Linked DNA regions of Alligator mississippiensis. The main gene of each other region encodes a partner of the protein of the gene in region 4 in a complex. Links are inferred from orthologs where the notes say so. Each region holds a gene or a part of one and is shown on either strand. Other genes may lie near its edges.

What was found.
Region 1: RELA (region 4) and CHUK share a complex: the UniProt entries of both Homo sapiens proteins name them as parts of the 70-90 kDa complex. The link is inferred for Alligator mississippiensis from reciprocal best matches to the Homo sapiens genes RELA and CHUK.
Region 2: the proteins of RELA (region 4) and NFKBIB are in contact, whole or in part, in a crystal structure (PDB 1K3Z), measured with the Mus musculus proteins. The link is inferred for Alligator mississippiensis from reciprocal best matches to the Homo sapiens genes RELA and NFKBIB. Residues at the interface, in NP_033071.1 of Mus musculus: Lys218, Lys221, Ser240, Gln241, Ala242, Asp243, Val244, Arg246, Gln247, Asp294, Arg295, Arg297, Ile298, Lys301, Arg302, Arg304, Thr305, Tyr306, Thr308, Phe309, Ile312, Met313, Ser316, Pro317, Phe318, Gly320; in NP_001293151.1 of Mus musculus: Tyr53, Thr55, Glu56, Asp57, Asp59, Ala61, Leu64, Ala65, Ile67, His68, Gln69, His70, Pro72, Phe73, Phe76, Asn91, Leu93, Gln95, Leu100, Ile103, Leu104, Gly105, Arg125, Val137, Arg275, Leu283, Arg284, Asp306, Lys307, Leu308.
Region 3: the proteins of RELA (region 4) and NFKBIA are in contact, whole or in part, in a crystal structure (PDB 1NFI), measured with the Homo sapiens proteins. The link is inferred for Alligator mississippiensis from reciprocal best matches to the Homo sapiens genes RELA and NFKBIA. Residues at the interface, in NP_068810.3 of Homo sapiens: Arg50, His181, Lys221, Ser238, Phe239, Ser240, Gln241, Ala242, Asp243, Arg246, Arg253, Asp294, Arg295, Ile298, Lys301, Arg302, Arg304, Thr305, Tyr306, Thr308, Phe309, Ile312; in NP_065390.1 of Homo sapiens: Thr71, Glu72, Asp73, Asp75, Phe77, Leu80, Ala81, Ile83, His84, Glu85, Glu86, Leu89, Leu110, Gln112, Leu117, Ile120, Thr121, Asn122, Phe142, Arg143, Leu150, Gln154, Arg218, Asp226, Leu227, Gln249, Tyr251, Gln255, Leu256, Trp258.

What each region holds. Positions count from the first base shown.
Region 1 is NC_081829.1:10,062,052-10,069,937, forward strand, and holds the start of CHUK (inhibitor of nuclear factor kappa-B kinase subunit alpha), read right to left. Parts: upstream 3,007-7,886; 5' UTR 2,990-3,006; coding exon 2,861-2,989; intron 2,570-2,860; coding exon 2,475-2,569; intron 1-2,474. Other genes in the region: CWF19L1 (CWF19-like protein 1), read right to left, coding at 6,548-6,692, 7,452-7,549.
Region 2 is NC_081838.1:1,160,081-1,167,465, reverse strand, and holds the start of NFKBIB (NF-kappa-B inhibitor beta), read right to left. Parts: upstream 3,009-7,385; 5' UTR 2,919-3,008; coding exon 2,575-2,918; intron 2,485-2,574; coding exon 2,379-2,484; intron 2,289-2,378; coding exon 2,087-2,288; intron 1,958-2,086; coding exon 1,869-1,957; intron 1,339-1,868; coding exon 1,102-1,338; intron 939-1,101; coding exon 891-938; 3' UTR 1-890. Other genes in the region: SIRT2 (NAD-dependent protein deacetylase sirtuin-2), read left to right, coding at 4,093-4,108, 4,189-4,235, 4,432-4,483, 4,632-4,748, 4,961-5,002, 5,543-5,649, 6,005-6,061, 6,720-6,788 and 2 more. UniProt on the Homo sapiens protein: Inhibits NF-kappa-B by complexing with and trapping it in the cytoplasm.
Region 3 is NC_081825.1:256,790,729-256,797,995, forward strand, and holds the start of NFKBIA (NF-kappa-B inhibitor alpha), read right to left. Parts: upstream 3,001-7,267; 5' UTR 2,920-3,000; coding exon 2,687-2,919; intron 2,501-2,686; coding exon 2,392-2,500; intron 2,277-2,391; coding exon 2,066-2,276; intron 1,432-2,065; coding exon 1,343-1,431; intron 1,224-1,342; coding exon 963-1,223; intron 330-962; coding exon 282-329; 3' UTR 1-281. UniProt on the Homo sapiens protein: Inhibits the activity of dimeric NF-kappa-B/REL complexes by trapping REL (RELA/p65 and NFKB1/p50) dimers in the cytoplasm by masking their nuclear localization signals.
Region 4 is NC_081838.1:4,258,218-4,265,751, forward strand, and holds the start of RELA (transcription factor p65), read left to right. Parts: upstream 1-4,528; 5' UTR 4,529-4,956; coding exon 4,957-4,963; intron 4,964-7,534. Other genes in the region: histone acetyltransferase KAT5, read right to left, coding at 4,048-4,114, 4,194-4,205. UniProt on the Homo sapiens protein: NF-kappa-B is a pleiotropic transcription factor present in almost all cell types and is the endpoint of a series of signal transduction events that are initiated by a vast array of stimuli related to many biological processes such as inflammation, immunity, differentiation, cell growth, tumorigenesis and apoptosis.

The DNA.
Region 1 (7,886 bases), on a different chromosome or scaffold from region 4:
TATCTGCCCCTGGCTGCCTGTCATATGGCCCTGGATGTCTTGCCAAAACTCAGTAAGCGGCCCTTTGCCCGAAATAATTGCCCACCTCTGGTCTAACAGTTAAGGGACTGGAGTTGAACTATGTGCCACAATTTCTGCCCCTGTCAAGTGGAAATAACTCTTTCCTCCAAGGCCCAGCCCCGGGATACTTCAAGGATGTTTGTGATGCACTCAGACACTCTGCTGTTCAAGTTTGTAGATTGGGAAAGCAAATGTTTACATCAGGGGCATGTGAAACACCCAACTGTTTTCCAAAACTAAAAAGAAGGAACAAAACTTGGGCACACTGAGATCATTTCCAGTTGAAGTACAGACATCCAGGTCAGAATCAATCAAGTGATTAAAAAGACTGCATAAAGTAAACTCTCTCAGTAGTTTATTTTAGCTTTACTTCTACCTGGGAAATAAAAACCTAGGAGAGAAGCTGGTTTCACACTCATGCATTCCATCTTTCCACCTCAATAGCACCTCAAACAGGTTTTCCTACCTTCTTTAACCTTTTCCCAGCTAGTTCTTTCAAAAAGCTATTAACTCTGTATCCATTTTTAATGTTTCCTCTCTCTTCCTTACCCATCTCCCCCACATACCATGTCTCTCCTTTCTATCCCTAGCTCCTTTCATTCCTTCCTCTTCTACCCCTTCTTCTTGGTGGACTTTAATCCCTCTCTCCACCTTTAGTGCTAGTCTGGCCTTCAGAAGGAAGTTATCTATAGCCTGCCTATCCACAGAAGATAAAAATTAGGGAACTTCCAAGTCCCAGCAAGAAATCCTCCCTTTTCTTTTAGCTAGGGTGGTACAAGTCCTCTGTCTCTAAAGACAGGGTCTGCCCTTGACTTTCCTGAGGACTGTGACCAGATCCTGCATTCTTGTGGGACACCACCCAGGGGAACCTCATATCCTCTGACCACTCCCTCAATTAGTCCAAGTCACCCCTGCCCTCCCTCTCAAAGAGATTCTTGTGTCAAATGTCTCTCCAAAGTCCCACAGTCCATTTCTACTTCCAGGAAGTTCACCGCAAGAAGATGGATTGTTATAAAGCAGCAACAGACTTGTTCTTTGGAAACTGCTGCTAATGTGACAAAACTGCTCCAGCACCCCAATGATTTTCTCTGTGGGCCAAATATGCAGCTTTAACCAGTTAAAATAGAAAATTTCTGGAAGCGGAGTCTGAGGCAAACCCTATCTAAACCAGAGATGATATCCTTCCCCCACCAAGCCCTCAGTTCAAGGGAGCTGCTTTAAGCACTGCATAGTCTTATGCCAAGGTCACATCTGCATGCAGCCCAAAATTCTCCTATCAAACTTCAGGCTGCCCCAACCATGCTCTCAGGGCCACCAAGAAGCATTTGCTAGGAAGGCAGGGAACAGTGTTATCTGGCCAAATTTTTGTAATTAATTCTCCCCTACCCAAAGGGAGGTAGACAATCACAGCAGCCTGGGAATCCTACGGTGCAGATCAGCTGAAGCAGAGCCTACTGCTGCGTTTCCTGCTGGAACTGCCACTATAGATTTCATAAACGTTAGGGCTGGAAGGGACCTTGTAAGATCATCAGGTCCAGCCCCCTGCCCAAGGGGCAGGAAGTCAGCTAGGATCAAAAGATCCCAGAAAGATAAACATCCAAACGTTTCACGAAAGTGTTCAGAGTAGGTGCTTGCATCACTTCTGAGAAGAGCGTGTTCCAGACCTTGGGGGCTTGGACAGTAAAGAAGTTTTGCCTTACGTTCAGCCTAAAACGGCCTTGCAGGAGTTTGTGACCGTTGGACCTTGTCATCCCTTGGGGCGCTCTGGTGAACAGGCGTTCCCCCAGTTCCTGGTGCACACCCCTGATGTACTTACAGGCGGCCACCAAGTCACCCCTGAGCCTGCGCTTCTCCACGCTGAAGTCCCATGGCTTGCAGCCTCTCTTCACAAGGCCTGTTCTCTTGCCGTCTGATCATGCACATGACTCTCCTCTGGACTCTTTCAAGCTTCTCCATGTCCTTCCTAAATTGTGGAGCCCAGAACTGGATGCAGTACTCCAGCTGCAGCCTCACCAAGGCCGAATACAGCAGGAGAAACATCCTGGCTCTTGCTTGAGATGCGTCAGTAGACGCAAGCCAGGGTTTTGTTCGCTTTGCCAACTGCAGTATCACACTGGTGGCTCATATTCATCTTGTGGTCAATCATGACCCCCAAGTCTTTCGGTCACAGTGCTAGCGAGTGTAGCACTGCTGAGCCTATAAGTGTGATGTGGTCCATCCCCTCCCCGCTGAGGTGGAGCACCCTGCATGTCTATCATGGCCGCTCTCCAAGTGCTTCTCTGGCTACAACAGGCCACTGCAGACAGGCTAATCACCCACCTCACAAGTGAAGACTGCTTATGACGCACCGGTGCCCGAGCCACACGCAGTTCCCCCTGGATGGGAAGGGTAATAGGAAGCAGAGGCAGACTTACTTTTTCATGATCTGAATTTCATGGCACCACCGGTCCTTGTTTTTCACACTGAGCTCCAGACGGCAGGATTTAATCGCCACCTTCTCACCGGACTCCTGCAACACAAGAGCTGGGGGTGACTGGGCAGGCCACCGGGAGGGAAGGGGGTCACCGCTGGGGTCTGTTTCATTTCACCCCTTTCTCTGTAGCCTTTTTCAGGACAGTGGCACAAAAGCCAAACTAATTAGCAAACCAGCTGCATGCAGCCACAACGAGCACCCCTGGGTCCAGCACCCACCCACTGGACCGCGGGGGCCCCGGGATCCGCGCCCGGGCAGTGTTTGCGCAGGAGGGGGGGCAGGGGCGGTCTCCATGGCAACAGCCCCGGGCCCCGCCCCCGGCCACACCTGGTGCTGGTAGAGGCAGACGTTGCCGAAGCCGCCCGTGCCCAGCCGCTCCCGCATGTCCCAGGGGCCGCAGCCGCCGCTCGGCTGCCCGCGCAGCGCCGCGCCCACGCCCACGGCGCCCCGCTCCATGGCGCCCCCCTGAGCCGCCGCCCGACCCCGGCCACGACCCCGACTCCGGCCAGCCGGAAGTCAGCGGCTCTCGCGAGATCTCCTCCGCGAGAGCCGCCCCGGCCCTGAGCCGAGCCCCGCCCTGCGCTTGTACGTCACAGAACCGCGTCCTCCCCCAGCGGCCCAGGGGGCGGGGCTGGCGCCGGGCGGCCTCCAGCTATCCCACCATGCACTGCGTTCAGCACAGGCAGCTGGTGGGGGGCCTCACCCAAAGGCCTTGGGGTGGGAGCTGATGCAGGCCCGGGAGCCCTCCTGCCCCAAGCACCTGGTGGTGGGTCACCTCACATCCTGCCAGCAACCAGCACTGGGGGCCAGGGGAGCAGCATCATGCCCTGACTTGGCCCCTCCCCACGCTGCCAGGGCCCCTGCGCCCTGGCTTGGTTTAAGGCACAATGGAAACCAACCACAAACTTACCACCATTTTTGTGCCAAATTTGGATCTGTGGCTGAAGGACTAGACTCTTAAACCATCCCCGAGTCCCATCAGTGAGCCACGGCTGAACGGAGAGATTGTTCCTGCCACCTTAAACAGAGGGATCCTCGAACAGAGGGATCGTTCCTGCCACCGACATACTGCCCTGCATGACAATTAACCAGACATTTTACTTGCTCGCCTCCCAAGGACAATATCAGAGCCCCCCCATTGCAACCAATCTCACGTGTCCCATGCAAGCAGCCTGCCTCACTGCTGTGGCCCCTCCAGGCTGACAAGACCAAGCACAGCAACAACTCGGTCCCAGAGGAGGGAACTGATCTCGCAGTCCGGGGTCAGATCGACGTTCAACATGCACGCAGCTCCAGCCAGCAAGATAATAGCGTGCATCAGAGGACCACAAGGGAAATGGCAACTCGATTATGTGACCGTGGGTGGACCCGGTGCTGGTCTCAGTGCAGAGATCCCAAGCAGCAGGTCACAAAGACGGAAGGAAAAACAAACGGTTGGGTGAATAAAGTCTCGTGTCGCCACTACGAGGCACCATCACACATCTTTGTTGTCAGCAACACAGCAAACCTGAGGGGCACCACAGCAGTTCACACTGAGGACTTGGCCATGACCAGTATCGAACAGACACAGCCCTCCCAGGCCAGCACATCCACCCTGGTAAGTCCCAGCCCTTTCTACTGCCGCTGGTGCTCCCCCAGGAAGTTGATATGGGCTCAGACAACTACAACCAGGAGGTTCCTGCATCCTACTATATTCAGCATCCTAGCCACCTATCCCCCTCAAGCAGTGATTCTCAACCAGGGTGCCAGGGCACCCTGAGGTGCCTTGAGATCCTTTCAAGGATGCTGTGCAATGTTAGCACTGTTAGGTGTGCAGATGTGATTCATGAGATAACTCCAGAGGTTTCAAGTAGGAATCCATAACATTAAAAGTATTCTGACTCGTTGTGGTCTTTCTGAGTTCTTTGGAATAGAAAAAAACACCAAACACTCTATTTTTCCGTTGTCAGAAACAAATGAAAACTTAGAACTGGCATTTTCTGATGTGCGTCTCAAGTCTATTAAGTGATGCTTCAAGACTAAAAAGGTTGAGAACCACTGCACTAGACAGACCAGGTACTCCAGAAGAACCAGCTCTCTACCTCCCTGTGCTAGTGTGAGGGGAGGGGAGTGGAGGCTGGGAGGGTAAAGTGGGGCTGGGGCAACAAACCCAACTAACCCCCCCAGCCCAGCACAGGGAATGCAGGGGGCTAGCAGGTTAAGCTGCAGACCAAATCCAGCTGCCTTGAGTGGAAATGGTCCCCCTGCCAACACTTCCCAACTCCAGCCTCATTCCCAACCCCCTTACAGTGCTAGCCCAGCAGCACTCAGCCAATGATTTGCCCCCAACCCCCTTGCCACCCAAGACAGACCGGGCTTATAAATGCCCCTCCAGCATCCCCCACCCCTGCATGAGCTGAAAAAGACTACATGAACCATTGCATTCAGATTACACTGTTTACTGGGGTCTGGTACTTCATTACAAACATATCAAGTGTTTTTGACAACAGACAAGAACTGAGGGATGTGCAGAATGGCAGGGTCTCTTGGTCCTTGGGTTCTGCACCACAGAGCTGCTCCCAGCACCATGCCCTGTGATGAGCTGAAGGGGGGCAGAATGGGGAGAGGGGGAGCATGAGTCAGAGCAGCAGCACAAATGTGAAGGACATTGAAGCACAATCCCTCCTGCAATGATTTTACCATCCCCATCCAGTTACCATTCTCCACCCACCCACTTAAAATTTCACCACCCACCACTTTGAACAACCAGTGGAGAGGCCCCATCTACAGTACACTTAAGTCATGACTTAGCTGATTAATCATGTCTTAAGTGGTCACCCGGCCACATGTTCAGTTACTGGCATGATTAAAAAAGAAAAGAAAAAAGCTAGGAAGTTATTCTACAAAATTTGTAGCAACTTTGCAGCTGCACCTATCATGCCATTACTTAAATGTGTAGCCAGGGGGCCCTGTGACTAAGAGCCCCGTCAGCTGAGCAAAGCTCCTAGCTGCAGGAAGCCATGTGTACCCCCATGGCTCGGAGCCCTGCCAGCTGAGGGGGCTCCTGGCTGCAAGCTTGCTTCTTGCCCATGCAGGGGGAGCCTGGGATTGGGTTCCCCCTGCACCAGCAATAAGGCATGATGGGATCTTATCCATACCACAGTCACACCTCCTGCAAATGCACATGTAGCACAGCTGGACAGGTGATTGTGCATTAGATCCCACTGCACCCTTACCTGAACCAGAAGAGCAGCCCAGAAGGACCAGGCGTTGTGCATGCTGGCCATAGTCTGCCTGTTCTCTCAGGCCCCCTGCAGCAGAAGGGCAGCAGTATACTCAGCCACCTTGTGAGCCACTTTAGAAACAAGATACGTTTCAGTGGTGCGATTTCTTTGCTGAGAGACATGCTGCAGTACACCCTGAGCGACACCAACTGCATCATATGTTTCCACACTCAGGGCAGTGCAGTCTGGGTCACTGCAGATGTCAGGTCTGCTTAGGCCACGGCAGCAATCTTGCCACCCCCCACCAGCTCCCTCCTGATAATGTCCTTTCCTGGACCATGTGCTCACCCATGACAACTGCTCCAAAATTTATCTGACTGTGGCAGGACCAGCCTTGCCCCAGCCCCACAGACAGGTCCTACGCTATTTGTGTACCATCAACACCACTCCAGGGCCTCAGCTGCATCCAGCACTGCTTGAAGCTTGCCTAGGAAACCAACCAACCAGACCACAGAGAGAAATAGAGTTTATTCCTTTGATTAAAAATCTCAGCAAAAAGTACAGCCTGCTCCAGGGCTCTGGTCCTCCTGCTGTCAAATAGACTAAGAAGGGAAATCCTTTGCCCCATTATGCCTTGCAGTTGGACTGTTCACTTTTAACCTCAGTTCTGCACAGGAGTTGAGTCAGACCAGAGCGAAACTCAGCAACAAGTACAGTGTTAAAATGAATGATGGTGATGAACAGGAACAGGACAGCAGTGCTCTTGGCAAGACAGTCCTACCACTGAGTGCTTCCCACTGGAAAAGCAAAGTTACTGCAGCAAAGAAAAGTCAAAAGGTTCAAAGTCCTCTCGAAAGGCTTTGGACAATGCCTCCTCCTCTTCTCTGGTGGACTTGCACTGCCTCCAGTCTGCCCGATCTGGAATATTCAGGATAGCTTCACTAGCCAGGACTTCCCTGTAACCAAAACAATCAGCTGCAGAACTGTTGCAATCTTTGAAGTGCAAGCACATTGCTAGAAATAATAAGACTACAAAATCAAGTACTGTGGGGGCTATCTAAAGACTCATGTTGAATTTAATAGAAAAACTGCCATTTAATTCACGGGGAACGCATCTGAATTGCATTTGAAAGGAAGCAATTCTTATTATTAATTTAGAAATAGGTCTATATAGAGGCATTACCTGCTTCTTTGCTAAAAAGGACAATTTACTGGTAAAAAGTAAATGCAACTAAGACAATACTTTGTACAAACATGATTCTTAATCTCCACACTGAACTTTTCCAGTTCAAACATTTTAAAACGATTTGAATGTAGGGACAGAGATCAGAATATCAAGTAGCAGGTGCACAGAATTTTTGCAGAGGGCAAGAAAATGCAAGCCTCATTCTTTAAACGGAAGGTCTTCTGGTAGTAAGCACAAATATGGGAGTCAAGAGATGTGTATTCACTCTTTGCCATCATACTGCTCTATGATATTGGGTATGTTTGTAAATAGGGATAATACTTACCCCACTTTTGTGAGCGATTGAGATCTAAAACAAAGATTAAGCTTAATAACTTACTGTAAATAAGACAAAGTAGCTGGTAATTCCAGGTTCTACGTATCCCCAGCTTCCTTCTCAATGGTTATTGGTTAAAAAAAAGTATGGGGAGCATATTCAATACATATGTTGTTATTTTACACAAAAGAATTAAGAAGGGAGAAAACAAACCTTCCAAACTGCAAGGGAAAATTTTTCTTAATACGATGAAAAAGCTTCTCCCCTGTATCCAGTTCAACATAAAAATATGGTGTTCCTGGCTGTGCAATCTAGAATAGGGAAAGGAAAGAAATTCTGAAACATTAATCCGCATTTAGCAGACTGACAAAGCTTGGACTCTGAGAAAAATGTGAAAGATGCCAATTATGTAGCTGTTGGTCATTTCCTGTGAGAAAAGCAAGTAGCTGATCTTTAACCACATACCGTTTCTATAGTTCAACTATAATTCCATCCAAAGTACCTGGAAAAAAACTTGTATAAAAGTATGTAATGAATAAAGTAAAAAAATGGCAGTAACTGACAGGAGAAGCTAGAAGAATCAATAGGCAGAAATAAAAACCACGAGATGATTCATCTTTCCAAAAGCCATTTTTTTATCCAGTTCCT
Region 2 (7,385 bases), about 3.1 Mb from region 4:
ATGGGGCAAGAGTTTTAATCACGTGCCCCCCCCCACCCAGCCACCCACCCTCGTTAACATACACAGCACAGGGCAAGATCCAGACAAGAACAGGACAGGCACGCAGACACGGACCACGCAGACGCACGCTGGAGTGGTAGGAACGACACGGGGGGGCCACACCACACACAGAGAAGCTGGACGCACACGGAGAGGAGACACACACGCCCCTTTCCCTGGGGCAGGGCCGAGGCAGGGATCGGCAGCTCCCCGCCTCCAGGGCTGGAGGAGTTGCAAGGGGCGGGTGGGCAAAACCTCCCACAGCTGACGGAGCAGAGACAGAACCCGGTCCTCCCCCTGGGCACCACTGTGTCCACACTGGGATAGGGGACCAGTCCAGCCCAGTATTGGGAATGGTCTCTCTGGTCTGAGAGCAGCATTTCCCTGCCCCCATGTCTGCACAGCTCGGGGCTGAGAGGTGGAAGGGGCAGTTCGGGGAGGGATCCCCGACTTGTGCCACCGCTGGAAGGAGATGGGGTTACTAGAGCCCAAAGGTCACGGGCACGAGAGCCCAAGAGTCTGGGATCCTAAAGCGGGGGGGCGGCAATCGGCACCGCTCTACAGACCTCAGGTCTTTGGCAGCCGAGATCTAGAGCTGGTAGCCGCCGCGGCAGGGGCTCCTCTACACTAGGGCAGGCAGGTGCTGGCGAGGTAGGGGCCAAGCCTGCCCTGCCCGCGGCACAACAAACTGGTCTCAGGCCGGCAGGAGATGAAGGGGCCCCAGAGCGGGCAGGGGACGCGTTGGGGGTCCGGGGGGCCACTGGCAATAGCAGAGGCCGGGCCGGGCAACGAGGCTGTCCCAAATCCACCCGCAGAGGAGAGGAGAGGGGGGCAGGGGAGACCACCCCCCATCAGTTCTTATAATATCCACTGTTGATGATGATGTCGTCATATTCATCCTGGAGGGAAAGGGGAGAGACGGAAGGAATTAGGGCGGAGCAAACGACTGAGACCTCCCCAACTCGTCTCATTAACGGCTGGGGGGGGGGGGGATCTAACCACTAGGAGCTTCCCACCCAGCCCCCCCGGGGGCAGGAGGGTCCCCACAGCCGCCCCACTCACGTCGCTGGCGTCGTCGGGACTCTCCGGCTCCGAGTCCCAGTCGGGCTCCTGGGAGCCGAAGTCCCGCAGCAGCTGCGGGATCCTGCGGTCGGGCCGGTGCAGGGCGCTGTACAGGGGCGTGTAGCCCACGTACATGCGGGCGCCGGGGTCCGCGCCGGCGCGCAGGAGGCACTCCACCACCTCGGGGCACTGCGCTTCCACCGCCAGGTGCAGGGGGCTGCGCCCACAGCTCGGCTCCTGCCGGCACAGGCCAGGGAGGGGGGGAGGGGGTGGTAACGCCCAGGGGCAGATCTGGAGGTGGTGGGGGGGCACCCCCCGTCGACCCATCTACCCAATCTGTAAACCCAACTGCGTGGCAGGGGCAGCCGCGTTTCTACCCAGGCAGCCTGGACTCGACTGACTTCACCGCTCCCTCGTTCCTGCTAATCCCTTTGCTCCGCAGGCGTTAACGACCCTCTCTCCTCGCTAACGATCTCGACATTGACTGTTCCAACCATCCCGTCCTGCCCTGCCGGGTCCCCCTCCCGGACGCCGCAGACTCCCCATCCCCGGAGGGGCTCCCAAGTCACGGCTCGGGCGCGATCTAGCGCAGCGATGCCTCGCGGGACTAACGAGATGCCTTCTTGTGACCGGATTTTTCTAAGCTTTCTACCAACAAGCGAGGTGGACTTAACCCAGCCCCCCTCTGGGAGTAAAGCCGCTTTTCTCCTCGCGTTACGTCGGCTGCGATCTGCCTACAGCAGTGCCGCCCCCCTGCCGGCACTCACCGCCTTATCGAGGTCGGCGCCGGCGCCCAGAAGCAGCTTCACCATCTCCACGTCCTTCTGCAGCACGGCCACGTGCAGGGGCGTGAAACCTGCGTGCGGAGCGAGGCGCGGGATGGACGCCGGCCTCGGCCGCCCCCCCCCACGACAGCTCCCCGGGGGCAGGGGGGTGGGTGGGTGGGTCGGGGAGGGGGTGTGCCCCCCGCGGCGTGCGCGCGTACCGTCGTAGTTGGCGCAGTCCAGGTAGAGGCGGGCGCCGGGCGGGGCGAGGAGGTGTCGGGCGCAGTCGCGCCGGCCCTCGCGGCAGGCCAGGTGCAGGGCGGTGCGGCCGCCCTTCTCCCGCAGGCCCAGCCCCGCGCCCGCCCCCGTCAGCTTGCGCACGAAGCCGGCGGCGCCCAGGATGGCGGCGATGTGCAGCGCGGTCTGGGGGAGACGCGGGGGTGGGGTGAGGTGAGGTGAGGTGAGGTGAGGTGGGGGGCGGGGCCGGGGGCGGGGCCGGGGGCGGGGCCTCACCTGGCCCAGGTCGTTCTGCAGGTCGAGGTAGGCGGTGCCGCGCGCGAAGTGCAGGATGGAGTCGAGGAAGGGCTCGTGCTCGTGGATGACGGCCAGGTGCAGGGCGCTGCGGGGAGGCGCAGGTGGGCGGGGCGGGGTGGGGTGGGGGAGGGGAGGCAGCCCCCCGCCCCCCGCCCCGCCCCGCCCCCACACCTACGTGTCGCCGTCCTCCGTGAGGAAGCCCAGCACGTGGCGCAGCCAGGCCTCGGGGGCCACGGGCGGCGGGTCGCGGAGCCGCACCGACCCCACGCCCTGCGCCAGCGCCCCCACGGCCGCCGCCTCCTTCTCCTCCTCCTCCTCCTCGTCCCCCAGCGCCGAGTCCAGCCGATCCCGATCCCGCTCCCGCTCCCCGCCGCCCTCGGGGCCCGGCGCGCCCGGGAGCGACAGCGGCCCCTCGCCTAGCGAGCCCAGCCCGCTGTCGCACCACTCCTCCGGGCCCGCCTTCGTCTCGCTCTCGGCCTCCACGCCCCGCTCCGCCTCGGCCTCGGCCTGGCCCGACATGGCGGCAGGGGCGCCGCAGCCCCGGGCCCGCTGCACCGACGGGAGAGGGGGGCGGGGCAGCTCCCGGGGAATCCCCGCCGCCCACCAATGCGCGCCCGGCTTGTTGCGGGGTGGGCGGCGCGCGGGGCAGGCCGGGAGGACGGGTCCTGGCGCGGGGCAGGATGGGAGATGGAGTCTAGGTCCTAGCGTAGGGCGTGATGGGGGGATGGAGCGAGAGGCATCATGGGAAGTGGAGTCTGGCTCCTGGCGCGGGGCATGATGGGGGGTGGAGGGAGGAATGGAGCGTGGGGCATGATGGGAAGTGGAGTCTGGATCCTGGCGCGGGGCATGATGGGGGATGGAGTGCGGGGCTCTCCGCCCAGGGCGTGAGGGGGGAGAGGGGACTGGAGCGTGGGGCATGGTGGGAAGTGGAGTCTGGATCCTGGCGCGGGGCATGATGGGGGATGGAGTGCGGGGCTCTCCGCCCAGGGCGTGAGGGGGGAGAGGGAACTGGAGCGTGGGGCATGATGGGAAGTGGAGTCTGGATCCTGGCGCGGGGCATGATGGGGGATGGAGTGCGGGGCTCTCCGCCCAGGGCGTGAGGGGGGAGAGGGGACTGGAGCGTGGGGCATGGTGGGAAGTGGAGTCTGGATCCTGGCGCGGGGCATGATGGGGGATGGAGTGCGGGGCTCTCCGCTCAGGGCGTGAGGGGGCAGAGGGAACTGGAGCGTGGGGCATGATGGGAAGTGGAGTCTGGATCCTGGCGCGGGGCATGATGGGGGATGGAGTGCGGGGCTCTCCGCCCAGGGTGTGAGGGGGGAGAGGGGACTGGAGCGTGGGGCATGGTGGGAAGTGGAGTCTGGATCCTGGCGCGGGGCATGATGGGGGATGGAGTGCGGGGCTCTCCGCCCAGGGCGTGAGGGGGGAGAGGGGACTGGAGCGTGGGGCATGATGGGAAGTGGAGTCTGGATCCTGGCGCGGGGCATGGTGGTGGACGCGGGGCGTGAGGGGGGAGGGGGGAATGGAGCGTGGGGCATGATGGGAAGTGGAGTCTGGATCCTGGCTGGAGTACGGCTCTCACCGCGGGGCATGATGGGAGCTCTGGCTGTGTCTCCTCCCGTCATCCCCCGTGGATGGCTCCGCTTCCGGTGACATAACGCGGGCCCCGGAAGTGCGGGGCCCAGGAGCGGGGCCCATGGCCGAGCAGGAGGGTGAGGCCCCGCCCCCGGGTCCCCCTGCCCCCTCCCTGGGGTCCCCCCCTCCGTGACTGACCCCCCCCCTCTGCCCGCAGCTCCGGGGGCCGCAGACGCGGGGCCAGGCCCGGGCTCCGACTCCCCGGTGAGTCCGGCGGGGCCCAGCTGACCCCTCCAGCCCCAGCTTGCCCGGCTGCAGCCCGAGCCCGCTGCCCCTCGCCCCTCGCCGCTGGTTCGGCGACCTGCGACGTCGCCTTTGTCTCAGCGGGGCGGGGGGCGGGGGGCTGCGCTCTAAACCCGCGGTAACGGCGCGCTCCGCTCCACTCCGCTCGTCTCTTCAGGACTCGGACTCCGACTCGGACAGCGGCGCCGGCGCCTCCGGAGAGTCCGAGAGTGAGTGCTCGCACCCCGGGGTGGGGGGGGGGCGGCTGGGAGGAATTTCGTGGCTCCTGCATGACCCCCCCCAGCAAGCCCCGACCGGCAGTGCGGTCTGTGAAATGGGTCCGTGCGCGGCGGTGACGGCTGCCCTTCCCCTCCGCAGTGGAGTTCCTGCGGACCCTGCTGTCGCGCACGCTGGGCCTGGGCGGCGAGGGGCCGGAGAAGGTGCTGGAGGAGCTGACGCTGGAGGGCGTGAGCCGGTTCATGCTGAGCGACCAGTGTAAGCCCCCGCCGGGCTGGGACGGGACCCGGGCAGGCGGACGCTGAACGCCTGGGACCCTCCCCTCCCCCTCCGGGTGTTGGGCCCCCGGGGGGGGCGCTTACCCTCGACCCCAAGGCAGCACGGAGGACCCTGCTGCGGGCGAGGGGGGGGATGGCGCTTGTACCCGGGGCGGAAGTCACCCCCCCGCCCCACCCCCGTTTATCTCGCAGGCAAGAACGTCGTGTGCATGGTGGGAGCCGGGATCTCCACCTGTAAGTACCCCGGCTGGACTAACCCCCCGCGCTCCTGGGGTCAGGGGTCAAGCCCCCCCACGCTCGCTGCCACTCGCTGCAGCCGCTTCTGGGGTGCAGCGCAGCAGCTGTGCGTACGGGGCTCACTCCCTTCACTCCCCCCCGCTGCCCCCCTTTGGAGCGTACCCCCGTTGGGCGGGCAGCGACCGGATCTTCTCGCCTACGACGCATGCTTCCCCCCCCGCCCCCCACCCCAAACCAGCTGCTGGAAACGGGCACGAATGTGACGCGTGGGAAATACGGTAGCACGGTAAGAGCTGCTTCTGCCGGAAAAAGCCGGGCGGGCACTTTGTTCCGGGGCACGTTACACATGAGGAAACGTGAGGCAGGCAAACGCGGCTGAGTCTGGGGTGGAGCGCGGCAGCTGCGGGTAACACCGGTGGGGCCAAAGAGAAGATCCTTATGGGACCCCAGCCCACTTCTTCCCCCCCCCCTGCATCTCGACCCCCACCTCCAGCCAAGGCGCAGGCCCCTGAGCTGCCTCCCCCCGGTGTCTCCCAGCTGCGGGGATCCCGGATTTCCGGTCGCCGGGCACGGGGCTCTACGCCAACTTGGCGAGCTACAACCTGCCGTACCCCGAAGCCATCTTCGACATCCGCTTCTTCAAGGTATGGGCCCGGGACCCTCTTCCCTGCGCCCCTTCGGCCAGGCACTGTGCTCCCCTGCCTCCGCTCCCCTCCCCTCCCCGCGCACATCTGGGGTATGCCCCCGAGGCCGTACCCACAACAGACACCCCCCGGCCCCCTTTCTCCCAGGTCAGGATCGGTCACCCGCAGGGCTGGGGGACCGATAATGAAGCTGGGCAATCTCGAGGTGGCTCTGATTGGGGGGGGGGGGGCTTTCCCCCTAATCAGGGCTCAGAGTGTAGCCCGCTCTCCCCCCACGGGGGTAGTAGTGATGTGGGGGAAGCTGTTTAAAGCTACGCGCCCCCAGAGACTTGGCCGTTTGCTTTTTTCCACGCAGAAAAACCCCGAGCCGTTCTTCGCCCTGGCTAAGGAGCTGTACCCGGGGCAGTTCAAGGTAAACCCACCCTGCCCCAGCCCCGAGGCGCCTGGGAGCCAGGATGCCTGGGTTCCCTGCGCAGGGAAGGGGCTGGGGGTGAGAGCAGAGCCAGGACGCCTGGGTTGTGCCCCTGCTTCTGCAAAGCGGAGGACCTGGGCCCCGGACCCCTGGGTTCAGTGTGGCGAGTTGTGCCCCATTTTGGAAAACCGCCCAGGTCCCATCGGGCCCAACCCCCACACAGCCTGGCGTCTGCCCCCTGCAAGCTCAGCTGCCCCATGGGGCTGGGGGGTCTCCAGCCTGTCACCCTGCCCTGGGCTGGCCAGCAGCCCCGACTCCTCTGGGATCGTTCTGATGCCGGAGCTTGCTTGCGTTAGAGCCGTGACCTTGCAGTGCCAGCCTGCCCGCACCAGCCCCCACCCGCAGCAGCAGGGAAGACCCTGCCAGTGCTATCAGCTGCGTCTCACCCATTCCCCCCACCCCCCAATGGGCCTGGGTCGAATATGTGCCTCCTTGCTGGGCAGCACTGGGTGGGCAGGTGGTCCTCACCCCTCCCAGCCGGTGCCCAGAGCCTCCTGGGGTACAAGGGCTGGACTTAAGGGAGTGGGTGCATGGTTAAATTGCCCTTTCTCCCCTATGGGGGGGGGACACGGAAGTGACTGTCCCCGCTCTTCCCCAGCCCACCGTGTGCCACTACTTCATGCGCCTGCTGAAGGAGAAGGGGCTGCTGCTGCGGTGCTACACCCAGGTGAGCGAAAACCCCTGGGGTGGGGGGCATGATCAGTGGCAGGGGTGGGCAGTTTCACCCCAGCTGTGCCCAGTCATTCCCACTCCCCCAGCCCTGTAAGCTGGCCTGGGCACAGGGCTCATGGCTGGGACTGCCCTTTCTGTGCCCCACAGAACATCGACACGCTGGAGCGCGTGGCCGGGCTGGCGGCCGAGGACCTGGTGGAAGCGCATGGCACCTTCTTCACCTCCCACTGCCTTGGCACCGCCTGCCGCAAGCAATACAACCTGGACTGGATGAAAGGTACCGCGGCCGCGGGGGTCCGGGGGCTCGCCGGGTCCAGCAGCTGCCTTTGCCCCCTGATGGGGCCTGTCGACGGAGGGGAGGTGGGGATCTCTGTCCAGCCTGGGGGTTTCAGAGCTCCTGTAGAGGAAGAAACAGCTGATCGGCCCCCAGAGCAGGTCGCGTTGTGGAGCCCAGAGGAGCTGAAAGCCTTGAGGTTTTCCTGGCTCCTTGTTAGCGATCTTCTCGTTAGCCATTTCCTGGACCTCACTGGTCTTATTTCCTTTGTCTCCTGTCAGAGAAGATCTTTTCCTCCCTGGTCCCCAAATGTGACCA
Region 3 (7,267 bases), on a different chromosome or scaffold from region 4:
ATGTTCAGGTAAACTGCAGTCTGTCTTCATACTGATCATATATTAGGACAACCAGTTAACTGAGAAGTGGTGTAATTCGTCACAGATTTCTACTGATCTTCTACGTTTCTCCCATAATTACAATGCAGCTCAGAACATGAATCTTGCTGTTATAGTCATGTGCTCTGTGCTGTACAGTGTATTTCAGTATTTTTTTTTCACATTTCTCCATTTTTTTAAAAGAAAGTAAGTCTCTGTTATACATATGTACAGACTCATGTCCTTTCTGAGAATACTCCATTTTATAATGCCAACTGTCGTCCTCCAATAACGCAATCATCATACATCAGCTAGAAGGGAAAAGGAAGAGTATAAGTCAATGCAATACTTTTATAGGAAACACTCAGATCTACCCAAAGCAAAATCAGGTCAAGCTCTGCTAGTCTCAACCTCAGTATCACTGCTCACACAACTAAGGTAAGCAGAATGTAATCTTTAATCTGAGATGACTTGAACACCAACATTCAATAACAACCATATAATTTCTTAAGGCTGTATTGTACTGTAACATTAGTTTTATCACTCTTCTTTCCCTTAACAAGATCCTGATCATAAAGAAATAAAAGTGCAACATTTCACAGCACTTTGGAATCACTGTGAATTTTGCTTCATTAAGGCCCATAAACAGTGATCCAGAAATGACATCTACATTTAAGAAAAATTATTGCAATAGGACTGGGTGTCTAGTACTCAAGCCCTTACTACTGGATTTCTAATGCTGGCTATTGTAACCTCTTAGTCTGCCTTGATTGTATATGATTTATATCCAGTGTGGTAACAGACCAAATTTTGTATCCCACCAAAATATCACCTCCCAACCCTAAAACTTAAGGGCATCAGGTGTGCATATTTCCAACAACTTTAATGGAGGCAACTTGCATAGAAGGTCCTTTCTGCAATAAAAGGTGAAAATAAATACTTACTTCATCCTCTGTAAATTCTGATTCTGATTCGCTGCTTTCCTCATCCTCACTTTCTGGCAGCATTTGTAGGTCTGCTATGGTTAACTGCTTCAGCTGTTCTTGTATGATGGAGCTGTCTCTTCCCCATGTGAGCTGGTACGGAGAATAGCCTTGGTAGGTCACTTTATTCACATCTGCCCCGTGTTTCACCAGAAGTGACACCAGCTCTGAATTCTGCAGGTCTACAGCTAAGTGTAGGGCAGTTCTGCCATTACAAGGTTCCTGTTCAGAAAAATAAAATAGGATATTTAGTCTCAGGAGTTAAGTGTGACAATACAGAACTGTGTGTTCTTATGGCTGTGCTATCACATCCAGTTAAACCAAGAGCTTCAAATACCCACCTGAGCATTGACATCTGCTCCTAAGGACAGCAAACATTCCACAATAGCCAGATACCCTTGAATAGATGCCAAATGGAGACATGTATGTCCTGAAAGGCAAACACATTTAAACATTAATTACTTCCCCCATTACACATTATCACTCACTCAGATCTAAATTCCTTTCTACCCTATATAATATTTTGGTATTTGAATCCACTGCTCCAAATCAAAGGCGAAATTTTTATGTGAACCAGAGTGCTCATAGAATAGGAGGCTCACATCAATTTTTTGAAGAACCTTATTTCTTAGATGCTTTACTTAAAAAAAAACAAAACAAAAAAAAAACAAAAAAAAAAACCCAACAAAGAACCCAAAAAACTGAAAAAAGTCATCTTGATTTTCCACAGTAGCTTGTTTAACCAAACAAGAAAACATCCAAAATGTCAAAATTAAAATAATATAAGCCAAAAAACCAAAAAGAAAATCCCCACAGCACTAGATGCTGGAAGTTCAAGTGCCAAGAGTCAGTGGACAGAGCAAAGACTGGCAGGCAGAACTGTGACTTATCCCCAGCTCCACTGAAGAGAGACTTTAAGGAAGTTCCATTCCTGCCTCAGTTTCCACATCTGTGAAATGGGAATGACGAGGCTGGCACGTTTCTAAAACTCCTTTGGTTGCAAAAAGCCAATGCCCTCTCTAAGGGCTGTCTATTCGAACTGGCGTAAGCTGCGAGCAGCGTACCATTGTAGTTGGCAGCCTGCAGGATGGCGTGCAGATGGTGCGCCTGGCAGTACTGTGTGAGTACCCCCACGCTCCTCAGGGAGCCCTGCTCACAGGCGATGTGCAGCGGCATGTTTCCACGGAAGTCCCTGATCTCAGGGTCGCATCCGGCCTTGAGAAGGGCCTCGGCGATCTCAGGCTGATCCGTGATCACGGCCAGGTGCAGCGGCGTCTGGGGGCCAAACAGGACAAGAGTGGGATCAGCCAGGTGCCAAACGCAGAGCAGGGCCCAGCCCGAACCAGCCCAGCCGCCCGACCCGCCGGGCCCAGGGAGGAGGGGCAGGTACCTGGCTGAGGTGGTTCTGCAGGTCGAGGAAGGCGGGCTCGGCCCGCGCCTGCCGGATGGCCTCCAGGCTCAGCGCCAGCTCCTCGTGGATGACGGCCAAGTGCAGGAACCTGCGGGGGAGGGAAAGTCCCGGTGAGGCGGCGCGTTGCGCAAGGCCGGGCTTTCCGGCGCCGGCCGGGGCTTTCCACACGCCCTGGCCGCGCTCCAGGGACTTTCCAGCGGCTCCACCCGCCCGCCCCGGCCTCCGTGCGCGGGGCCCCGGCCCCGACCCCGACCCCAATCCTGGCCCCACTTACGAGTCCCCGTCGTCTGTGAGCTGGTGGCGCCAGGCCGGGGCCGGCGCGGGCTGCGCGGCGGGCAGCTGCAGGCGGATGTCGCGCAGGTCGCGCACTAGCTGGTCGTAGTCCTCCTCCTTCATGGAGTCCAGGCCGCTGTCGTGACGGTCGTCCAGCGCCGCGCGCTCCTTGCGCGGCACCATGGCGAGGCCGGGGCCGAGGCCGAGCTCGGGGCAATACGTAGGGCTGTGCATGGCGGAGTTACGGCTACTCACGGCTCCGACGCTGCCAACATCTGCGTGCGGGCGGCGGGGCCACGGCGCGGCATTATAGGCGCGGGCGGAGGCGGGGGGATTTCTGCGGGGCGGGGCCTGCCCGGGAATTTCCAGCGCAGTCACCGCCAGGCCTGCTGTGCTCGGCCCGGCCTGGCCTTGCTGCTGCTGCAGGGCGGCGCCTCGCCTGAGGAATCCCCTGGCGGGGCCGAGCCTGGGGGTTTTTTCTGTTCAGCTGCAGGGGAAGGACGTCCCGGCTCGGCCTCGGCCCCGGCTCTCCCTGTGTCCCCTCCTTTGCGCCTGGGCTTTCCCTCAAGCTTTCCCTCTGTGGCAGGGGGCTCCGTGGCGCTGGGCCCCCTCCCCGTCCCGGGGCCCACTCTGTGCCCGGCACAGGCAAGTGGGAGCGGAGCAGCTAGCGCAGCAGCCGGAGGTCCTCGGTGGGGTTCTCAGGCCTGACTTTTCTGGAGGAGGCGGCACCAAAGCAATGTCTTGTCCTCAAGGCTGGACACAGGCATAGGCAAATCAAGCGACTGGGCCCAGACAGAAAGGGCACAGTAACGATTATTATTATCATTATCTCTAGCACAGGGGGGCCCAATACTAAAAGTTTGCCCAGGGCTGCCAGGAATCTAGGTACAGTGCTGCGCTGCCCTTCTGGTCACAAAGCTCACTCAGAAGCAGGGGGATGACCTGGCCAAACTCACTGTGACATGCAGCTCCCCTGAGTGCCACTCAGGCTGCAGCAGGGGCCTGAGCTGTGAGGCAGCCGTGATGCTAAGCAACTGACCTGTTGTGCAGGTGGTCCTGAGCTGCCCAGTCTGTTCCATGTCAGTTTGGTAACATGGTACTTCGGTAACAGGCTTTTGGTTTCATTAGGTTAGGACAAATGACACTACTGAGATGTATGGAACAATGATTGCACAGATAATAAGCCTAGCTACCCCGGACCTCAGAATTGTCTGTGGAGTCTGACAAGCTTTTCAGAGATCTACTTTGCGCAATTGCAGACTATAAACTCTTCTCTACTTGTGCAACCTACTTGGTACAGGTACTCTCTCTAGGGGGATTCACCTTTGCCCTCTGAAGTTTGTACTAAAACTCCAGCCAGCGTCAATGCAGTCAGATGAGGCATAGATAGAGGAGTTCCACTTCCATTCCTGTAGGTCTAGTATCAGTCAAAGGTTAAATTCACTTCTTTCCCAGAGCATATGTATTCAAAAGAACAAATGCTGTTCAAATTGGGAACAGTGACTTCTTTTAGCCTTTATGCTGTTCACATCTCTCCTTTGCTGGAAGTATCTATTGTGTGCAGTGACATTCACTGGTAAAGGAATAACCAAAACCAAAAGCTCCTAGATTGATAAAAGATACTTCTAGCCGTACTGGCAGACATGTAGAATTCAACAAGCTAGTTTGGCTGGGATCATTGACAAAGCTTGCATTTTTTCCTCAGATTTAGGGGGTTTTCCAAGAGGTTTTTTTCTGCAATTGTAGCTGACGACACTGAGTAATAACATCTGAGAATTTTCTCTCGTCTTCTTCCCTTGGGATGGCATTCCTGTGAAAACATTTATGAGAAAATCCAAGGAGAAGTGGGGGGTCAGTAGAGAAGGCGCATATGATACGCCAACTTAATTTTCAGGCCAGAAGTAACATTACTGGACTTTTTCCACACACTTATAAAAAGTAACAATATTCGTCACTAGGCCTTGGAGAACCCAGTGGTGGTTTCTTTGGGCAGGTTCATAAAAGTTCCACAACAGTTTCTTTCTTAATTTAAGAGGCATGAACCTTCAATGTGTTTCTTGAAACAATTTTTCTTCTTCATTTAAATCCTTAAGCAGGAAATTATTTTTTAAGGAAAATCTCTCTAAGTAAATTGAAACCATTGCTCTACAAAGACTAAAGATTCTTGTTTAAAGGTGAATCTTGCCCTTGTTGTTATGATGGAGGAATAATACACAAGAAGAATATGGAACCCCACAATCAGTTTTGCCAGAATCAACATAAATTTTAACATTTCACATTCCAGTTTAAATGGATGACTTTGGAATTAGCAAAATACATTCTCCACTTCCTTCCACAACTGAAGTTGTACAGATAACTGAATCCCTGGACATTCTAATTTTGTTCAAGTCTTCATCTTTAAGTAAGTTTCATCAGTTTGAAGCAAACATAGGTGTTAGAAGAAGAATGGAAAATTATTTCTTTATGGAAAGTCACATCAGGGTTAACCTACTTCCTGCTCTATGGAAATGCAAATGCCAAGTTCTCACAGATGTTTCAGGCTATCATATCAACTCTTTAAACAAGCAAAAGTTTAGTTTTTGGAGGTTCCAGTACTAAAGGTGCAGAGCTGCACATTACATGATCATAACAAACATCAAAGCATGTGAAGTTAGATATTTTGAGCTCTCTGAAGACAACCTCTGCTCTAACTACATATAATATATCTGAGCTTCTCTGTTAACTTGATTCACTCAGTTGTTAAGACATCTGTGTTGCTGAGTGCCTCCAGCTTAAGTAGCAGCTTCAAGACTTGATTTCTTTCACCTATAATTGCTAAGTATAAGGCATCCTCAATTTAAAGAGGACAGCTGGATTGTTAGTCAGGGCATATAGTGACATCTGCTGGATCTTTGTGGAGTATCATTTCAAAAGGTTTGTTGGGACTGAGCGGGGTGAGGAAGTACTTCATATGGTAGCTGTGACTCAATATAGTCTTGCATTTTAGTGCTCATCTAAGGAAGATTCCAGCTAGGTGCAGCATAGGAAACCTGACCAGAATTTTTGCATCTAAATACAGCCCAAACAAGGTGATTGAAGCTTTGGGATTTGATTGGACTCGCACAGCATAGAATGTTGTGATTAGATTTGTTCATAGTGAGAGAGGTTGAAATTTGTTGTTATTATTCATAGTAGCAGCAGTAGTAATAGCATATTTGGTTAAACCTAGGGGAGTCAAACACAGACTGGGACTCCACTGTGCCAGGTAGACCAAAAGACCATCTGTTCTTCAAAGAAGTTAGAATCTCAGTATATGAGAGACAATAGATTAATTCAGATGGATGGATGGAGCGATATTTAAAATGAGATAACTATCACAACTAAAGACATATACAGAATACAGTTTTACAATGGTACAAAATTGTATTAAAGAAAAGATTTTAAGCAGTGATGCAGAATATTGACTCTTTCAAGCATAAGCATTTTTCCAGTAGGTTATTTATAAGTTTTCTTTACTGGGTGCAAGGATAATTGATTGAAATGGAAACAAATGAACTTTATCACCATTTTCTTAAACAAATATTTGTACTTTTAGCTGTGTGGGCTATATTGCATGCCTATTTTCACAGGCAGACTACTAACTCAATATTAAAGTTTGGGACAGAGACTTGGATGGGGATTTCAAATGGAGCTGAGTGGGTGGGTGCAGGGACACAACCAAGGTAACTCCTGCTCTCTCAGGGGCTGAGAGTCTAACTGCAGCGCGATGCAATGGGGTAACCTTGGGAGAACTGAAGTGAGTAAAGACACTGAGGAATTATGGATGCTGAGAAACAGCAGCTGAAGGAGAATTCAGGCTTGGTACAAGTGAGACAAAGTCAGTGGGAATGGGAGTCATTGACACCAAGCTTGAATTAATCTTAAATCCTGATAACTCTCCTCTTTTGATTATCTCTTGTCTCACTTTCTCTATTTTAGCATCTATGAAACAATTTCAGTGACATTCATCTATTCCTTATCTGCTCCTGTTTGAGAGGTGATTCTGACCTGGTGTCATTTTCAGCTCAGACCAGTACAATACTTTCCATGATGAACTGGCTAAAGGGTGAAGTGGTATCTCATTCAGAAAAGGATTTCAGAGATCTTCTAAGTGCCTTGGTTTTCCCTGTCACATGGGGATAATAATACAGGGAATGCTTTGTGGAGAAGCTACTGCTTATATGACTCTTTGGACTTGTACAAAGCTCTTTAAACAACTCTGTGAACATATATCCATGAGAAATAATATTACACAAAGTGGAGAAAAAATATGATACCTAAAGGCTGGATTCAGTAAAACCTGTTCACCTCTGGGTGGCCTGAGAACTCAATTTTTAGTATCACTGTGCCAAAGAAACCATATATTTGTATTGACTCTAACTCCCTTAAAGTACCTGAATGAGACTTTAAAGCAGCTTTGGGGGCTAGAACACTGAAAAGAGACAGCATGATTTTCATCAGTTTTAAGGTAGATGAAGTGTTCTCGTGCCACTTCCATGAGCAAATGCATTAGACTGTGATTTCCTGATTTCCACTTTAATAGTAAGAACTGTCTGGTGCTGTG
Region 4 (7,534 bases):
GTGGCGGGGGCTGTCGGAGATGGGAGTCTGGCTGATGGGAGACTCATCAACGTGCCTGGAACAGTTGTTCCAACATTCCTTGCTTCGTCTTTGGGGAAGGCTGTGAGGAATGTGAGCCAACAGCTGCTAGGTGGCCAGCAGGGACCCTGCACTGAGGGACCCAACCGTGCCGCTCCAAATGGATCTAAGCAGTAGTTCAACCTGTGCCTTCCTGGTTCTCTAGAGGCAGGACCATTGGCAAAGCTCTTGGGGGCTGGTCCTGCTCTGAGCAGGGGCTGGACTAGATGTGACCTCCTGAGGCCCCTTCCAGCCCTCGTGTTTTACGATTCTAAGGCTTTGCCTGGGGCAAATTCAAGCTGTCATTGGTGGCCATCCCTCGATTCAAGGATGAGCTCTACCATGGTTCATGGATGGGTCTTGACGTGGCTTAAGAGTGCAGTCCTTGAGCCACAGATCTGTCCGCAGATGTTGCAGACCTTTCTGCGGGAGAGCAGGCTGCAGGCTGGCATTCCCCGCCTTTTCCTTCCTCCGCTCTCTCTCCTCTGCTTAGAAGGCAAGAAAATTTCCCTCAAAAGAGGCTGCCCCCGGTGGAGGTTGCGATGCCACTGGAGACCGTCAGCAGCCAGGTCCTCCCAGCTCTTGGTGCTGGCGCCCACTATCTGGAGGTTTGCCTTCAACATGATCTCGTAGCGTTTCCTCTGGCCACCGCGAGATCTCAAGCCATTACTGTTCCAGGAGTAGAGCACTCATTCTGGTAGTTGAGCATCGGGTGTCTGCGCAGTGCCCGGTCCAGCAAAGCTGGTGCTTGAGGATCACTGGCTCCATGCTGGGAACGCTGTGTGAGGATCTGGTCTTGAACTTTTGAAGGGGTGGTTCAGACTGGTGGGTCTCAACCTCATCAGACCCCTGGCTCCCCTCCGCACCCTCCTCCTCAGGCAAGGCTGAGTCTTTGCTTTCGCTCACCTCTTATGGAAAAATATCAGTGCAAATGTTGTGCTGCAAAGAACTCAGCAGGGCAGGAGGGACTGGATGCTCTGGGCTCCTCTTGGAGATCTCTGGGTTTCTCTGGTGAATTGTGTCAGCTGTTGGGCACAGACCAGTACTAATACTGTGCAGCTTCCTTGAAAGGGTCTTGCAGCACCCTGCTGCTGCTCGGGTGAGAATCACGGTGTTGGACAAACCAGGATGGTTCAGCCAGGGCTGGTGTTGCCTGGGGCAGGGGGCTGGGCTGGATGCAATCTTCTGAGCATCTGGCCCAGCCTGATTTCTTCTCTGCTCAAGATGGGACCAGGGAGAAACAGGTGCTTTCTCTGTTCTGGCAATTACATTTTTCCTGGACTGCACTGAGAGTCAGGAGATGGGTCAGAAACAGCTTTGGGGCACACAAATGGTCAGGTCAGAAGCATCCTCCAACCCCTCTTGCTTCTTGTGTGTTCCCTGGACTATTGTGGCAACAGGAAAAATGCTCTGTTTAGCCGTCACTGGGAAACAACCTTCCTCCCAGAGGAACTCGGGCTTATCCCAGTTCTGTAGGCCAAGCCAGCGGTCCTCTGGAGCCGTTGTTCTGTTCTTCCAACAGATCACACTGACTAAAGTTGGACAACAAAGCTGAATGCATCATAAGCTGTGCAGGAGCCAGTAGTGAGCTTTTGCTGCAGCCAAAGCCATTAGCCTCCCGGGTTGTATTAACAAGAAGGTTGCTTGCAACTCCAGTGATTCTTCCACTTTGTACAGCCTTGGGGAGGCATCACCGGAAGTCCTATGTCCAGTTTTGGGCCCCGCACTTCAAGAAGGTGGACAGATTGAAAGGAACCCAGCACAGAGCAACACAGATGAGGAGCAGCCTGGGAAGCGGGACTGATGAGGAAAGGCTGGAAATACTCAGGGGATCAAGGCTGCAGAAGAGAAGACTGAGGGGGGATTTGATCACAGGCTTCAAACCCCCAAATGATGATGAGAAAGAGGATGAAGATGGCTCTCTCTCTGTGGTCACAAGGAAGGGGACTAGCAGCAACTTCCTCAAGCTGCAGCAGTGGAAACTGGGGTAGGGGAGGAGGAAGAACCTTCTGATTCTAAGGGGAGTTGAGCATTGGACCAGGCTGCCCAGAGAGGTGGGGGAGTCTCCATCTCCAGAGATCACCAAGAGAATGTTGGATGCACTTGGCTGGATTAGGATTGTCCCCGACTAAACCAGCCGGAGCCGGGGGCTGGACCAGATAACTGGTGAGGCCCCTTCCAGCCTGACTTCCCTACAGTCGTATACTAAATAATGTGTGTGCAGTTGAGTTTATTATAAATGAAGGTACTTGGAGCCAGGACTCCTGGGTTTCGTCCCAGCTGAGAGTGGCATGGCATTCAGTAGCCTAAAGTAGGGGGCCTGGGAGCTAAAATACCAGGGTTCTAGCCCAGCTCTGGGACAGATGTAGAGTCTGGTGTGATGGAGCAGTTAGGAGCTGGGAGCCTGGCTACCTGCATTCAACTCTAGTTCTAGAAAAAGATGTGGGGTGAATGGGGGATTAGGGGCTAGGACTCCTGGGAGTGGAGTGGGGGTTTCCAGTGGGTTAGAGCTGGAAGCCCAGGATGCCTGGGTTCTAGTCCCAGCTGAAGGAAGGTGAAGACTGTTAGCAGGCAGGGTAGATACGCACCTTTATGGACTGACTAACTAAATACACACGCACGATATATAGAATGTACGTGTGAATCTATATGATGGGTGTGCTTATATATGTATATGTCAATGATTTGTGTATAACTATACATATGATACATTAAATCTGTGTGTGTATACCATATAAATATATACTTACACATGCATAGTAGATACAATATAGGTGTGTGTATATATATATATTTATATATAATATAAATACACGTGTACACATACACTATATAAATGATACATACACGTGCGTGTGTATATAATATATAATAATGATGATATATAATATATAATAATGATGATGAAGATGGTGATAATATGATGTGTGGGTGTATAATCACAAACTTTTTTGAATCCAAGTTCACTTCATCAGACGTTTAAGGGCTACTTGGCACAGCAGTACCCCTGGACCTGATAAGAGCACCGAGGACTCCTGGGTGCTCGTTCCAGCTCGGGGAGGGGACGAGTGGCCTGAAACCCAGTGCTGAGATGTGGTCGGCAGGCCAGCGTTCCTCAACCCGTGGGTCACGACGCAAGAGCGGGTTGCAAGAACAGATGACGGGTTGTACGTGAACAAACTTTAAAAATGGAAAAACGTGGGAAACCGGGGTTTTTCCCTCGCAGGCTGGCACATTTCCAGCCTGCCAGGGGCCGCTTGGGCCCCCCCCCACCCCACACTTCTCCCACCTCATACAAGGGGCAGGGGGGGCCAGTGGGTCGGGACCGGCCACTGATGTTTCCAAATGGGTCCTGGTACAAAAAAGGCTGAGAACCACCAGTCGCGGAGGCAGAGCTCCGTGGCTCCAGCCCCAGCTCTTCCTACTCAGCGACCGCAGGCGTGTTTCTTCCCCCCCGGCCCCTCTCCATCTGGAAGAGGCTGTTGGCAGGGACCCGCCCGCGGGTGTGGGAGCTGCACTGTTATCCTGCGCGCTCTGCTGCAGCTGGGCCCAGGATGAGGTGCTGGGAGACGAAACATGGCCCCCGGCTCCGCGGCCCCCGTGCCCTGCCAGGCTCCGGCCGCTCGCACGCAGGTCAGGCCAGTGCCAGGCTCGGGACAGCGGAGCCAACGTGGCGGCACGGGGACGAGGGACCCCTGGTCCCTGCCAGCGCTGGACCCCTCGGCCCCCGGCCCCGCGGGAGTGGGGGGGGGCCGTGGGAGCCCCAGGTTGCATGGGAGGGTGCTGTTGCTATGGTCACTGCCCCAACAACCCCCTGGACCCCCCATGTGTCCCCCTTGGCTCCGCCCCTCCTCTCTAGGCCCCGCCTCTCCCGGGACAGGTGCCCGTAGCTCCGCCCCCTCCTCTCTAAGCCCCGCCCCTCGCCCCAGGACGTCCCCCGACGTGCCCCTAGCCCCACCCCGTCCCCCCAGGCCCCACCCCGTCACTCACGCCACTCATCCTCGTTCTCCTGGTTGCGGCGCAACACTGGCAGGCGGCAGCCCTCGGACACCTCCCCCTGCAGGCGGGACAGGCCGTTAGCGGGGTCCTGCCCCCCCCCCCGGGATCCCGCCCCGCGCCCCCCGGCCCCCACTCACCACCTCCGCCATCTTGGGCCTCTCGCTGTGGGGGGAGGGGGAGAGCGGCGGGAGCCACCCGCCTCCACTTCCGGGAGCGGCCGGGCACCACTTCCGGGTTCCCCGTAGGCTACTTCCGGGACGCGGCAGGGTCACTTCCGGTCGCGCCGCGGAGGCCACATTTTCTCTGCTGGCGGGGAACGGAGGGGGATGGAACGCGATGACGCCAAGCTCATTTGCATAAAGAGGCGTGGAGGGAGGCAGGATGGAATGCTGCGGCTCTGTGGTCATTTGCATAAAAGGGGGCGTGGAGGGAGGGGGATGGAACGCGGCGACACCGCCCTCGTTTGCATGGAAGGGGGCGTGGAAGGAAGCGGGGGTCGGTCCCCGCGACGTCACTCAGCTAGATTTGCATGCCCGGGGGCGCGGCCTCGGAGGGGCGGGGCTTTCCCAGCAGCGCCCGGTCACATGGGGTGGGGCATTTCCGCGTGCGGCGACGACGCAGTCGGACCCGGGCCCCGATCCCACGGCGGGAGCGACCCCCTCCCCCACCCGGCCCGGCCCCGCCCCCCCCGGGGGGCCAGGACCCACCTCTCCTTGAGCCCCGCCCTCACCGAAGCCCCGCCCCTTCCAGCCCCCAGTTGGGGTTCGGACCCCCATACACTCAGCCCCGCCCCCTCGGCTTAAGCGCCGCCCCCAGCCTGGGGACCTCTCCCCTTAGTCCCTGCCCCCTCTAGGGCGGCGGGGCCCCGTGACACCCTGCCAGGACCCGCCCGCGGCCCCGATGGACGGTGAGTGCCCCCGGGGGTCGGGGTGGGGCTGCGCCGGGTGGGTGCAGGGCTGGGGGGCGACGGGATTCCCAGGAGCTCTCGGGGTGACCCCCCCCATCCAGCAGATCCCGCCCTGGGGCCAGGCTTGCTGGGTTGCGGCTGAGTCTGGGGTGATGCGGATGCGGCGGGGCCCTTGGGAGCCAGGAAGGGGCCGGGGTGGGGGGAGAGGAATTGTCTGCCAGGAAGGGCCGGAGCCGGCCGGGGCTCCCTCCAGCTCTGGGGGGGCCGGGGCTGAGAGCAGGGCAGGGAGCCTAGAGCCGGAGGCCTGGAGTCCCCCGCGCGCGCGGGAAGCGGAGCGGGCTCGGTTCTGCCCGACCGTCTCTTCCGGCCTGGAGACGTGCGTTGTGCCACCAGCCGCTCTTGTGCTGGTGGCTGGAGAGGGGCGTGTGCGTGTGTCACGGGGAGGGGACGCGGGAGAGCCCAGGCGTCGGGGCCCCCAAGCCCCGCTCCCCGCCCAGGCGTCCCGGCCCAGCTGGGACCCTGGGGTCGATTTGGCCCCGGGCAGTCGGAGCCTTGCTCCCAGGCTGAGGTCATGCGCTGCTCCCAGGCTGTGTGTGTACGGAAGTGTGCATGCCTACGACATAGGGCTGTACGTGTGTATGCATTCAGGGCAGGTACACTCCTGGGTGTGCACATTATAGGGACACGTGTGTATGTGTCCATATGAGATATGGACGTATGTACGCTGTGGGGCAGGTGTACATACGATATAGAGACGTGTATACAGGATAGGGACGTGTGTGCGCGCGCACAATAGGAACGTGTGCGGGTGCGTACAATATAAAGACACACGTGCATACGATATAGGGACGTGTATACATGTGTGTATGCATAGTATAGGATCCCGCGTGTGTATGGTTACATGCGATACAGGGGGACACGTGGGTATGTACGATAAAATGATATGTATGCATGTCTGTGATATAAGGACCAGTGTTCCTATATTGTGCGCACACACACCCCCCCCATACGGGTCCCTATATCATATCTACCCATACATGTTCCTATATCATGCGTACACACACACACATGTTTGCGCACAGGTAGATGTAAAACAGGCATGTGTGGGTATGTGCAGTATAGGGGCACGCATGTGTATGTACGATATTGTAGATAATGTGCATGATGCAGGGACATGTGTGCAGGACGTTGCGTGTCAGCGTGTGCACGCATGCTCATGTGATACGATGAACCCAGAGTCCTGGGTCCAGTTTTGGGCCCCGCACTTCAAGAAGGAGGGGAGTGGATTGGAGAGAGGCCAGCGCAGAGCAACGCAGGACGGGCGGAGGGGGAGAGATCTGCGGGGATTGAGTCTGGGGAAGAGCAGACAAAGGCGGGGATAGCACGGGATGGGCTCTGGCAGCTGCTGCAGGGGAAACAGAGGCAGGAGACAAGGAGGACCCTTCTGGCTCTGAGGGGATCTGGCATTGGAGCAGGCTGGCCAGAGAGGCGGGGGGGGATCCATCCCTGGAGATCTCCAGGAGCTGGCTGGAGACCCGGGGCCCGGCTGGTTAGAGACGTTGTTCGCCGCGTGAGCCTGAAGTTGGGTAGGCGGCAGGGAGTCGGCCCCTGATAAACTCACTGGGACAGGGAGAAGTAGAGACTGAGACCTAGACCTAAATCTGGGTATCAGGTATAGACAGGTATAAAGCTAGATAAATATAGGTGTAGATAGAGAGATGCAGGTACAGACCAGTGTAAAGATACCTAAATATGGATGGATATAAAGAGAGAGAAATAAAAGTAGGTGTAGATAGCTAGATATAGGTATAGAGAAATATAATGATAGCTAAAAAGAGATAAATATAGCTAGATACAGGTATACCTGGATATAAAGATAGATAAGTAGCGATAGAGATATATCTATCTATACCTGTACTGATCTAGATAAATAGGAACGGGTATAGATATGTAGATATAGACATAGAAAGATAGCTATATAGAAATAGCTGTATAGAGAAAGATCCAGGTGTAGACAGATATAAAGCTAGCTATATCAAGATAGCTACAGGTAGGTAGGTACAGGTATAGACGGATATACAGATAGATATAGGTATGGATATGAAGAAAAACAGAGATAGGTATAGGCAGATGTGGACAGATACAAGTGTAGACAAAAAAATAGAGGTCAGTATATTTTGATACAGGTATTGACATATATAGAGGTAGCTATAGAGAGGTAGGTATAGGTACAGGTATTTGCAGATGTAAAGATAGATGGATGTGCATGTAGGTAGATGAAGGTGAGCACAGGTGTAAAGACAAATAGAGATAGAAAACTGCGGGTGAGTATGAAGGTGGATAACGAGAGCTGCAGGTAGATGGAGGAACAGACGGGGAGAAGAGTAAATAGAGAGAGATGTAAAAATAGATGTAGATGGATATAAAGATGGAGAAGTATCTCTTTTGGGGGGGGGGTGTCTGTACACACTGTGGTGAGTCTCTAAAGGTGCATCTCTGCCCTGACTTGAGGCTGAGTTGAGACTAACATGGCAACTGCCTGTCTACTCACGTATGTCATAGCGGGGTGCG